3 linked regions of the Sus scrofa genome follow. The protein of the gene in region 1 interacts with the protein of each later gene in a pairwise test. Links are inferred from orthologs where the notes say so. Each region holds a gene or a part of one and is shown in the gene's direction. Other genes may lie near its edges. The genes, in order: FLAD1, PRTFDC1 and REL.

The links.
Region 2: the proteins of FLAD1 (region 1) and PRTFDC1 interact in binary tests that used the Homo sapiens proteins (3 or more experiments, as listed by UniProt). The two-hybrid records come from large-scale screens. The link is inferred for Sus scrofa from reciprocal best matches to the Homo sapiens genes FLAD1 and PRTFDC1.
Region 3: the proteins of FLAD1 (region 1) and REL interact in binary tests that used the Homo sapiens proteins (3 or more experiments, as listed by UniProt). The two-hybrid records come from large-scale screens. The link is inferred for Sus scrofa from reciprocal best matches to the Homo sapiens genes FLAD1 and REL.

Annotation. Positions count from the first base shown.
Region 1 is NC_010446.5:94,810,524-94,814,233, reverse strand, and holds the start of FLAD1 (FAD synthase), read left to right. Parts: upstream 1-813; 5' UTR 814-891; exon of another isoform or gene 892-959; intron 960-1,354; 5' UTR 1,355-1,498; coding exon of another isoform or gene 1,499-1,579; 5' UTR 1,580-3,028; coding exon 3,029-3,710. UniProt on the Homo sapiens protein: Catalyzes the adenylation of flavin mononucleotide (FMN) to form flavin adenine dinucleotide (FAD) coenzyme.
Region 2 is NC_010452.4:50,364,327-50,368,075, forward strand, and holds the start of PRTFDC1 (phosphoribosyltransferase domain-containing protein 1), read left to right. Parts: upstream 1-1,327; 5' UTR 1,328-1,459; coding exon 1,460-1,834; intron 1,835-3,749. UniProt on the Homo sapiens protein: Has low, barely detectable phosphoribosyltransferase activity (in vitro). Binds GMP, IMP and alpha-D-5-phosphoribosyl 1-pyrophosphate (PRPP). Is not expected to contribute to purine metabolism or GMP salvage.
Region 3 is NC_010445.4:80,898,651-80,902,299, reverse strand, and holds part of REL (proto-oncogene c-Rel), read left to right. Parts: intron 1-509; coding exon 510-652; intron 653-2,987; coding exon 2,988-3,136; intron 3,137-3,649. UniProt on the Homo sapiens protein: Proto-oncogene that may play a role in differentiation and lymphopoiesis.

The DNA of each region.
Region 1 (3,710 bases):
GCTTTATTGTTTATAACAGGGACAAATGAAAGTTCCATACACTAAAAGCTCACCTCCAGGATCTTGCTACCTCACAGGCAATGCTGCCAATTTTTTTGGTGTCCGTGCAACTTCCATCTGCTACAATATAAAATCCCCTCTGATATTAGCCCCTGACCCCTTAGAATGAGTCATCTGTTAATGAATAACAGATATGCATACAAGAATCTGAATACAGGAGTTCCCGTCGTGGCTCAGCAGTTAACGAACCCGACTAGCATCCATGAGGGCGCGGGCTTGGTCCCTGTCCTCGCTCAGTGGGTTAAGGATCTGGCGTTGCCGCGAGCTGTGGTATAGGTTGCAGACGCGGCTCGGATCTGGCGTTGCTGTGGCGTAAGCCGGCGTCTACAGCTCCAGTCGGACCCCCAGCCTAGGAACCTCCATATGCCGCAGGTGCGGCCCTAAAAAGACAGGCCCAAAAAAAAAAAAGAAATATGAACACAGAAAGGAGATTAGAGTCAAGCCTCCCTTTACTTCCACCACCAGACAGGAAACCCCAAAGCCCTTAAAGCACCTGCACCCCTCATCGCTCCTTTCACTCCAGAGACGCCCCAAATCCCGCCCCGAGGGAAAAGAAGCCCCGCCCCCGACTGAAGGCCAGCCCCCACGTTTCCGGGTAAGGGGTGACCACGTGGTTGTCACCAATAACAACCCAGCACTACTCCCGCCCACTGGCTACAGCTCTCGAGCGATGATCGACTACACCAATGGGCCCTTAGAAGTAGTCTGAGCGACAGCCAAAATGACCAATTAATACGAGGTAGGTATGAGTCTAAGGCGGGACTCTGAGTACGGAAGCTGCCCCGAAACAGGAGGAGAGAGGGAAAGACCCGGTGAAAGGGCAAGAGGCAGGTGAGAACCTGGAAAAGCTCAGTAGTCTGAAGCGTGGCGGGAAGAGACAGTATTCCGGGCTGGAAAGGGTGCGGAAGGCTGCAGAAGAAGGGGCTGAGTTCTGGTTGGGGGTGGAGGGAGGGAACGCATTTAAAGGGGCCAAGGCCCAGGCTAAGGTAGACATTTAAAGGAACAGGTGCGGTAAAGAGAAGAGACATTTATTTAAAGGCGCAGATGCGCAAGGTAGAGCGGACCCTAGAGGAGCCGAGTTCGGCGGGCAGAAGACATTTAAAGTGGTAGATGTTCTGGAGGGAACATTTTCAGGAGACTAGAACCGAGCCTAGAAAACATAAAAAGAGGTATGGGCTAGGGTTTGAGAGCAGGTTTATTAAAGGGGCCGGTGTAAAGGAGTCGATTGTCAAGGGCCTAATGAGGAAGACGGTGCACTCCTGCTCTCCCCTATTGTCCTTTCTGGCTCCTCCAGGTTCCCTCGACCCCGGAACCCCTGTTCCCAGGCTATGACCCCCAGTGCCCTGTAGATCTGGCGGGCCCCCAGTGCTTGCGACCCCTATTTTGGGGTCTGGGTGGCTACTGGAGGGCCTTGCGGAGGGGCAGAGAAGGCAGGACCATGGCATCTAGGGCCTCTGAACCTCCCCCAGGGCGCAGCGTGACGGCGGGCATCATCATTGTTGGAGATGAGATCCTCAAGGTGTGTCTGGGACAGAAGAGGGGGGAGGGTGCAGCGTTCTCCTAACACGTTCTGTTAAGGGAGGGTGAACCAGGGTGGGAGCCCCCCTTGCTACCGTAGGGTCCTGGAGTGAGTCCAGTATATTGCAGGAAGAGTGACCTTCATTTATTCAATTACTCTGCTGAAAAACTTGTAGCAAAGTCCCTATAATTAGCCATGCTGTGTGGGAGGGGAGGAGAGGCTTTAACAGCAATGATGAGGAGGAATTCCGGGTGTGGCACAACGGGGATAGGCGGCTGCTTCTCTGGAGCGCTGGGCCACAGGTTCCAGTCCTGGCTGGCATAGTGGGATACAGTGGGTTAAGGATCCAGAAGTGCCGCAGCTGGACCATAGGTCACAACTGCTGCTCAGATCTGATCCCTGGCCTGAGAACTCCATATGCAGTGGGGTGGTGGGAAAAAAAAAAATGACAAGGAGTCCCATGTATACAGGAGGTATTATTTCAGAGTTATAGCCAGCCTAACTGGAAAATGATCCGAGGCATTCAGCAGAGTAGCTAAGTGGGATGGAAGGAAAGTACCAGAAGGGAGAAATCCCTTCTGAATGATCAAGGAAGTCTCATGAGAGGTCACGGTGAGCATCAGGTTCACAGTAGTACTATTACGTGCTTACTAGGGCCTGGCAGCGTGCTTATTACATGGCCTGTGTGGTTTTACTGATCCTCACAACAACCCCATGACGTGGGTATTTTTACTGTCAATATCAATGAATAGATTATGAGAATAAGGCTCAGAGTTGAGAGACTCACCCATGTGGAACAGCAGCTAAAAAGTGGTAGATGGGATTCCAACCCGATTCTCACTCCAGAGTCACCCTTAACCGCTAAACTCTGTGGAGAAGTAGAAGGAGATGGAGCTGGAAAGGAAGAGTGCATACACACCATAGACAGGCGGCCTCGAATATTCTGCAGAGGTATTTGAACTTTATTCTGTACAGGGTTGGAAACAACAAATGGCTTTTGAGCCAAGAGTGATGCAATCACAGTGACACGTTAGGAAGGTTATTCGGGACGCATGGGGCAGGGCGCTGTGGCTGGAGGCCGGGAGCCTGGCCAGGGGTCTGTCGCCACTGTCCAGGTGAAAGGTGCCAAGGACCTGTTTGGTGGCAGGAGGGACAAGAGAAGAGAGCAGATGGAGAGACACATTTCAGAAGTAGAGTTGACAGCATGAAGGGGCTGACTGGCTGTGGACAGTATCTGGGGATGCCATTGACCAAGGTGACAACAGCCTGGGTTGGGGGAAGGATGCCCAGGAAGCACTTGGAACCAGGAGACCGAAACTGTCAGAGTTGCTGAGGAAGTGGAAGAGCTGTCCATGTACGATTGATGATTGAATCCAGAAGCATAGATGAGGTCAAGGTCAAAGGACAGAGATGGAAGCCCAAGGTGGTTCACATCATCCCTGACTCCACATGGATCTTGCCACTCTTGTGCCCAGTCAGGGCTGGTGTCCCCCCAAGAGCAGAGGGCCCCACCCCCAGGCACATGCAGCCTCCTTCCTTCCCCCTCTGCCCTTCATCCCCACAGCACTGACACACTCGTCTTCCCCACCCCCCATCTCCCAGGGACACACTCAGGACACCAACACCTACTTTCTGTGCCGGACGCTGCGCTCCCTGGGGGTCCAGGTGTGCCGAGTCTCCGTTGTGCCCGACGAGGTAGCCACCATTGCAGCTGAGGTCACGTCTTTCTCCAGCCGCTTCACCCACGTCCTCACAGCAGGGGGCATCGGCCCCACCCATGATGATGTGACCTTTGAGGCAGTAGCACAGGCCTTTGGGGACGAGCTCAAGCCCCACCCTGAGCTGGAAGCGGCCATCCGAGGCCTAGGAGGGGAAGGCTGGGAGAAGCTGTCGCGGGTGCCCTCCTCTGCCCGCCTGCATTATGGCACAGACCCTCGCACAGGCCGTCCCTTCAGGTTCCCACTGGTCTCTGTCCGAAACGTCTACCTCTTCCCCGGAATTCCGGAGCTGCTGCGGCGGGTGCTGGAGGGGCTCAAGGGACTGTTCCAAAACACGGCTGTTCAGTTCCACTTGCGGGAGCTGTATGTGGCAGCTGACGAGGCCTCGATTGCCCCCATCCTGGCTGAGGCCC
Region 2 (3,749 bases), on another chromosome or scaffold:
TTCATTGTGAACCTATTGGTTTTACATTATATTAACAGTCTAAGGAAAGAAGATGTATCTATCATTTCCCACAGTTCCCACCGTTGTTGCTTTTTGACTTCTATAGAGCAACTACACCTGTAACTTTGACATTTGTAACTTTTGTGTTCCTTAAGACCCAGTGTACACTCTGAGCTCTTATGGGTAAATGTGAATTTGCATCTTTAAGGCATGGTTGGCAACCTCTGCCTCATTCTCTTGGGTGCCTTAGCAGCACAGACTTCTGAGTCTGAACACACAGCTTCTCCACCAGAATGTGCGGAGTAGGGAAGTGGCTGGCTACCCAAGAGTCTTCTGAACCCTAAAGTTTGATCATCAGTTTTCAGTTCCTGGAACTCAGGTTGTGAAGATGCTTCCTGGGCTCAGTCTTTAGCAATGAAAATAGCAGATGGCCCCTCACCTGTGAGAAAAGAGATGAGTGAGACTATAGAAATTGCCCCAGACAAGGACATCTGACAGTTACTGAGAGAAAACGTTTACCTGTGCAAGAAACACTTTCACTCGGTTTATGGGAGCCAATCTGCAAGCACAGCGCCTAGTTTCAGCGATCCAAGGAGCTGCCCGCCTTTCCCGTGCTGTCACTTCCGACAGGGTAACGACAAACAGGGCTGAGCACAGCCACGTCTGGTTTTTGCAACCCAGGGCGACATTAACTGATTGATAACCATTTCCCCCTGGAATCAAGCAAATCAGCATTCCACTCCCTGCCTTGTGCCAGAACCCACAGATGAACAAAATAGAGGTCCGAGTCGGAGACCCGCCCTCAGCTCGGGGCTTCCCACCAGAGCAGAGCTGCAAAGGATGAGGCGAGCTTGCAGAAACCAGGCGATGAATACATATAAAGGGAAAGTAGGGCCCTTGAGGAATGGACAAAGAACCGGGACCCTCAGTCGGGGGAAGGCTGGGATCAGGGTTGAATTAACAAAAGATTCAAGGGAGGCTTTTTAATCGGCAGCTCTAAACTGCAGCCTGAGAAAATCAAAATTTGACCGTTTGTTCTTACAAAAGTGGTAAAGTAGATAATGAGTAAAAAATCTTTTTTTCGCCCTGAAAGCGGTAAAGGAAAGCCCCTATTTCCAAGTCCTAATCCTGTAACCGCGGGCGTGGTTCAGGGATGGGCCACCGCACGGCTCTTTCAAACCCCTGGCTGGGCAGTTCGAGGACTTAAAGAACACATCCTAGTTTCGCCCACAGCCGTACTTGGAGAATATCCCATACCGCAGACTCTTTCGTGGATGGACTTGGGATAAAGAGCGCCTACAAGTCAGCAGGAAGGATTCAAGGACCTCGTTAGCCTGAAAGCTGGGACGACAGACTTAGGGAGGCAGGGGACCTGGGCGCCGTTTCTGTTTCTGTAAAAGCCCAGCCGCGGGCAGCCTGGGTCTCCCGAGTCCCCGCGGGGCGCGGGACAGAAGGCGGGATGCGGAGCACGCAGGCGGGCGGTGGCCGCAGGGGAGACGCGCGGGCGCCGGGGCCAGCGCTCAGGTGGAGCGCGCGCCGCTCGGCAGCTGCGCCCCCGCCCCGGGCCCCGCATCCCCGCCCCGCGTTCGAGAACCGGCCCGAGTTGGCGGCGCCGGCCGAGGCGCTGGAGCCGCGCCAGGCGTGGGGTCGTCCGCGCGCCGTGGCTTTCCCGCCCGCGGTACCGAGGCGGGGCGGGGCGGCCACATCCCACCCCTCCCCCTCCCGGCCCGTCACCCTCCAGGCTTCTTCCCGCGCCTTCTTTCCTTCCCGCTTTCCCCGGAGAAACATGGCCGGGAGCAGTGAGGAGGCGCCAGACTACGGGCGAGGCGTGGTGGTAAATGCAAACTCCGATTTCGGGCCGAGTCGCGCGCTCCCCGCGCCTTCCCCTCCCCTCCCTTCCTGGCACCCCCCTCCCCCCGCCTTTTCGATTAAACGCCAGAAATGCATTCGGGAGAGGGCGGCCACGGCTTTGTTCTTCCCTCCGGCGGGATCGCTTCCATCCTCCAACCCACCCCCACCCCCACCCCCGAGCCCAATCTGACCCCACATTTAACATCCCTTCACCCCGTGTTGTCAGTGTTCTCTCCGCCTCCGCCAGGAATCCGCCAGCATTAAGCCTGTGTGGTGCCGGGTCCCCCTCCTGCTGGCCACAGGAATCACCTCTGGGGGCCGGGCAGGTCTGTGAAGACCCCCGCGGGCCGCTCTTGTGGGACTCCTCCTATTGTACTCCCCCCTGACTCTTCCAGTGTAGGCTTCACGTTTTGTTTCCAGAAAGGATACTGAGGATTCTCTAGGGCAGCTAGGAAATAAAGTAGCTCTAGTGGACGGAGTTTGAGCTTTGAAACCTGGGCTCAGACTCCTTTCTGTGGGTCCTCTGCACGAGCTCGAGCTCGGTCGGGACACGCTAGCGCCCCTGGAGCAAGCGCCAGTTTCTGCAAAAGGAAAGCACAGCACGCTGGGCCTGTGGGGCCAGCTGGAGAGGATGATTGTAGGGTGTCTAAAAGTGTGGCGGGTGAGAGGATGTAGGATGCTGGGGTCCCAGACCAGAGGCTCTTTATCCCTGGGAACTGCTCGTAGTCACTCATCACCCGGTGGGCAGCCATCTCTCAGTGTCCTGATTCCAGTCACGGCTTGCCCTGTGGCCCGCCGGCTTCTGCTCGGAAGAGAATGGTTTCAGTGGAAGGTGGTGGTTTTAATGTGTCAGGTTTAAAGTGAACCGGCGGTGAGGAGTGGTGGGTGGGGCTAACTTGCTACGTGAAGAGTCTTTGTTTTGAGATCAGCCTGTGATGAACAGATAATCTGTGGCTGGGACAGGACTAGAAGAGTAGGAAGTTTGGATTTGGAAAGCCCTCACTCTAACCGCCCTGTTCAGGTTGTACTATGTTGCCCAGTATTAATTTCATAGCCGGACCTTACCCTCCTAAAGGAGAAGGCATTCATTTATATAAGCATCCCACTAATGTTGACTGTCCTGCTGGGGTACAGGTAGTGTTCTAGGCTCAGGGGAAACAAGACATAGCCTTGTGTTCCTGAAGCTTACATTTTAGAGGGGAAGGCAGACAAGCAGTGTGAAAGCAAATAAATAAAGAAGATGCTTTCGGATGGTGATGTGTGCAATGAAAAGAAAAGAGATCATGAGATGAAGTGTGATCGCAGGAGGGCCGGGGATGCTGCTTTAGCTCAGACGGTGGGAGTGGCCTCTCTGGATGACAAGAGATGCTAGCTAAGCAGTAGGTAGCCATGTACAGACTCTGAAGAAGGGTTGTCCAAGCAATGCCTATCAAGTGCAAAGAAATCTTCACATTCTAAGAAATCATGGCATCCAGTTTATGCTTTTTTTTTTTTTTAAAGTCACTCCAGGTGCCATGGAGAGGATGGTTAGACCTAGGGATGGGGTGAGTTGGAGGGGGATGAAAATATAAAATGGGAAAATTAAGTTCAATTTAAGAGAAGCTGAGCCTATAGTGCCTGTAAAGCCTACGGTCAGGATGCACAGGAGGCAATTTGAAATTCCTATTTGAAATTCAGGAGGGCGATTGGATAGATTTGGAAATTGTCAATAAATAGAAAAATATCTGATGCTTGGCATTAGAGAGCGATGCCCAGTGAACATGGGGTGGAGCAAGGAAGTAAAACCATAGTTAAGGGTAGAAACCTGGAAAGCCCCCAGTGTAAGAAGCAGAGTGTCTGGGAGAAGGCAGATAGGAAGACTAAGAATGAGTAGCAAAGTAGAAGAGAGCTGACAGGGT
Region 3 (3,649 bases), on another chromosome or scaffold:
CCTAGTCGGATTCGTTTCCACTGCGCCACGATGGGAACTCCACATTTTCATTTTCAATGAACAGTCTTTTAGTCCACTGTTAAGATAAATCTAATGTAAAGTCAGGCAAAGTCTTTTTTGGAGTATAATATTGCACTTCTGAAGACTGTCTTCTTGACCCTTCTGGGAAAATTCTGGGGAAAACCCTTCTGCTTGGTCTCAGGTGAGAAGTGGATATTTGAAGTGGTTATCGCAGAACTTCACACTGGCATTAGTTAGAGATATTAAACGATAAAGTGCTCAGCAGTAAATATGATTTGAATGGCTTGTGTTTACACTGTATGGGAACTCGAATGAGAGAGAAAATCAAATAAATTATCCACCCAGTCTTGAATAATTACATTTCAACTTTGTCATTTAATATTGAGAGGGGAAAATTTTTAGCCTACTCTTTTGGAAAAAACAAGATGGTTAAAGATCCATTATTAATTCTATCATAATCTCACCCTCCTCCCTTTTAAAATTTTTAGGTGGGTATAACCCATATATAGAGATTACGGAACAACCCAGACAGAGGGGAATGCGTTTTAGATACAAATGTGAAGGGCGATCAGCAGGCAGCATTCCAGGGGAGCACAGCACAGACAGCAGCCGAACATACCCGTCTATCCAGGTAACAGATCGTTCTCCTCTGCGTGTGTGTGTGTGTGTGTGTGTGTGTGTGTGTGTGTGTCAGCTGCATCATGTTTTCACTACAGCAGTTACATTAAAGACCCAGCTTCATCACAGTGATCGTCACCAGCTTTTCCTCCTTTTTTTCTTTGTAATTGATCCATACTGCATAGATCTCTAGGCACATTTCTTAAATAAAGTATAGAGTCTTCATCCCTGCAGATTGTTATATATTGAGTGTTAATCTGTGTAGAGTGATTCCCAGTGCTTAGAGTACATCGGCAACTTTTGGATGACAACACCTTTAATGGAACAAAAAGCTAATGAGGAAAAAGCATTCTTTCCTTCCAGTGGTGAGCAAGATTGTTCTGGAGATTAAAAACCTGTATTTGGAAATTCGGAATTCTTCCTGCAATCACTTGGCTAATCTAGGGGCTATGGAAAAAAGAGCATTTTTGCCTTTTTTCCTCTTTACGTTTATTGCCTATCCCTGATACTTTGGATTGCATTGACTGATTTGAAATATTGTCACTTTTTAAATATAGTTTTTTCATATTAACATAAATTTTGAAAGTAGTTTTTGATCCAAAATGACTTTGTTAATGTACTATATTTATAGAAATACTACATTTATATTTTATGTTTATATACTACATTTCATTAGACCCCTAGCCTGGAAACTTCCATATGCCTCATGTGTGGCTCTAGGAAAAAAAAAAAAAAAAAAGCTAATCTTCTACTCCTTTAAGAGTGATTTTTAACTCTTCTCCATAATTCAGCTTATTCTGTACATTCTCTTAACCATTTCTAAGATCTTTATCCTTACCATTCCAGTAGTTTCTAAACAACTTTGCAGCTTGAGTTCCACTTGAGCCTACCTTACACTTTTAAGTCGTTACCTTGTCTTTTATTCAGAAAGGCAATAAATACTTTCTGATTACTGTTCAAATTAGGTTTAAATTCAGAATTATAGATTTTAATGCCCACTTATCTATGAAGCCACCCATTCTTACCCAGCTGCCTCGCTCCCTTGTTTGCTGGTTTTTATATTCCTTGCTTTGTGCTTGCAAATTTTCCATCTTCCAGAATAAAGATAAACTCCTCCCTACATTGTGTAGAGTCCTCCTTCCTCTCCCATGTTTAACTCTTCATTCTCAGTGTCATAGATCTACTTACTATGTGAAAACTTAATTTTGCAAAACAGCCTAATTTGTTGCCTATGGTACAGTGAATACTTGGGATACACTTTCTGATTTAAAAAAAAAAAAAGATATTTTTGTGAAATGAAATGTCATGTATTAAGTAACAACCATACTTGACCATAATGGTGGCTTAAATGTGTTCCATTGTGGCTTAAATATATACATTCAAGGGATGTTTATGGTATGACAGTGAATATAAGAGCATTGCATTCAGTGACTCAACATCTTAGTATTTCCTCATGCTCCATGATAATATTTTGGTATAATTTTACTTGTTTTAAAAGGAAAATGGAGTTCCCGTCGTGGCGCAGTGGTTAATGAATCCGACTAGGAACCATGAGGTTGTGGGTTCGATCCCTACCCTTGCTCAGTGGGTTAACGATCCGGCGTTGCCGTGAGCTGTGGTGTAGGTTGCAGACACAGCTCAGATCCCGCATTGCTGTGGCTCTGGCATAGGCCGGCGGCTACAGCTTCGATGAGACCCCTAGCCTCGGAACCTCCATATGCCGCGGGAGTGGCCCGAAAAATAGCAAAAAGACAAAATAAATAAATAAATAATTAATTTAAAAAAATAAAAGGAAAATAAGGGAGTTCCTATTGCGGCTCAGCAGATAAAGAACCTGACTAGTGGAGTTCCTGTTGTGACGCAGCAGAAACGAATCTGACTAGGAACCATGAGGTTGCGGGTTCAATCCCTGGCCTCGCTCAGTGGGTTGAGGATCCGGCATTGCCCTGAGCTGTGGTGTAGGTCGCAGACACGACTCAGACTGGCATTGCTGTGGCTATGGTGTAGGCCAGCGGCCATGGCTATGATGTGACCCCCTAGCCTGGGAACTTCATGTGCCATGGATGCAGGCCTAAAAAAGACCCCTCCCCCAAAAGAAGGAAAATAAGCAGAATGAGGTGATATGACCGATTAAAATTAGGACACAGAATAATATGCCAAGAAACTGAGTGGTAAATTCTTCTCTACTGGTATTCTCTGCAAAGTTTCTTCCAAACTGCACTTGATAATCATTTGGACTTTTATTTATCCAATGCTAACTAATGTATATAAATTGAACCCTCATTTAGTAGATCAGTTCTTAATGAGATGTATGTATGGATCATATATCTGATTTCCCTCCTTTTCAGATTAAGAACTATTTTGGAAAAGGAAAAGTGAGAATTACATTAGTAACAAAGAATGACCCATATAAACCACATCCTCATGATTTAGTAGGAAAAGACTGCAGAGATGGCTACTATGAAGCAGAATTTGGACAAGAACGCAGACCTTTGTGGTAAGTACACAGTCACAAACATTTTCAGGAATAGGATAAACATAGGATGCTCTTGTTTCCTACCCATGTACATCTGTTATTTTCTAGCGGAATAAACTGATTCCTCATTGTCCTTCTATTTACTATAGTATACATTTAAATTTTCTTATCATTTATAAGAACTACCCTTTCCTCCTTTTTTAGTAGATGTGGCCCATGATGGTAGCAGGTATACTTCTTTATTGTTACTAAAAGCAAACATAAACTTATTTTATGCTGCAGTTTTCTTTCTTAGTCTGAGCAATTTATTAAAGATACTCTTTTTTATTTATTTATTTATTTTAGTCTTTTTAAGGCTGCACCTGCAGCATATGGAGGTTCCCAGACTAGGGGTCGAATTGGAGCTATAGTCGCTGGCCTTACACCACAGCCACAGCAACAAAGGGTCTGAGCCACATCTACAACCTACACCACAGCTCACGGCAACGCCGGATCCTTAACCCACTGAACAGGGCCAGGGATCGAACCTGCATC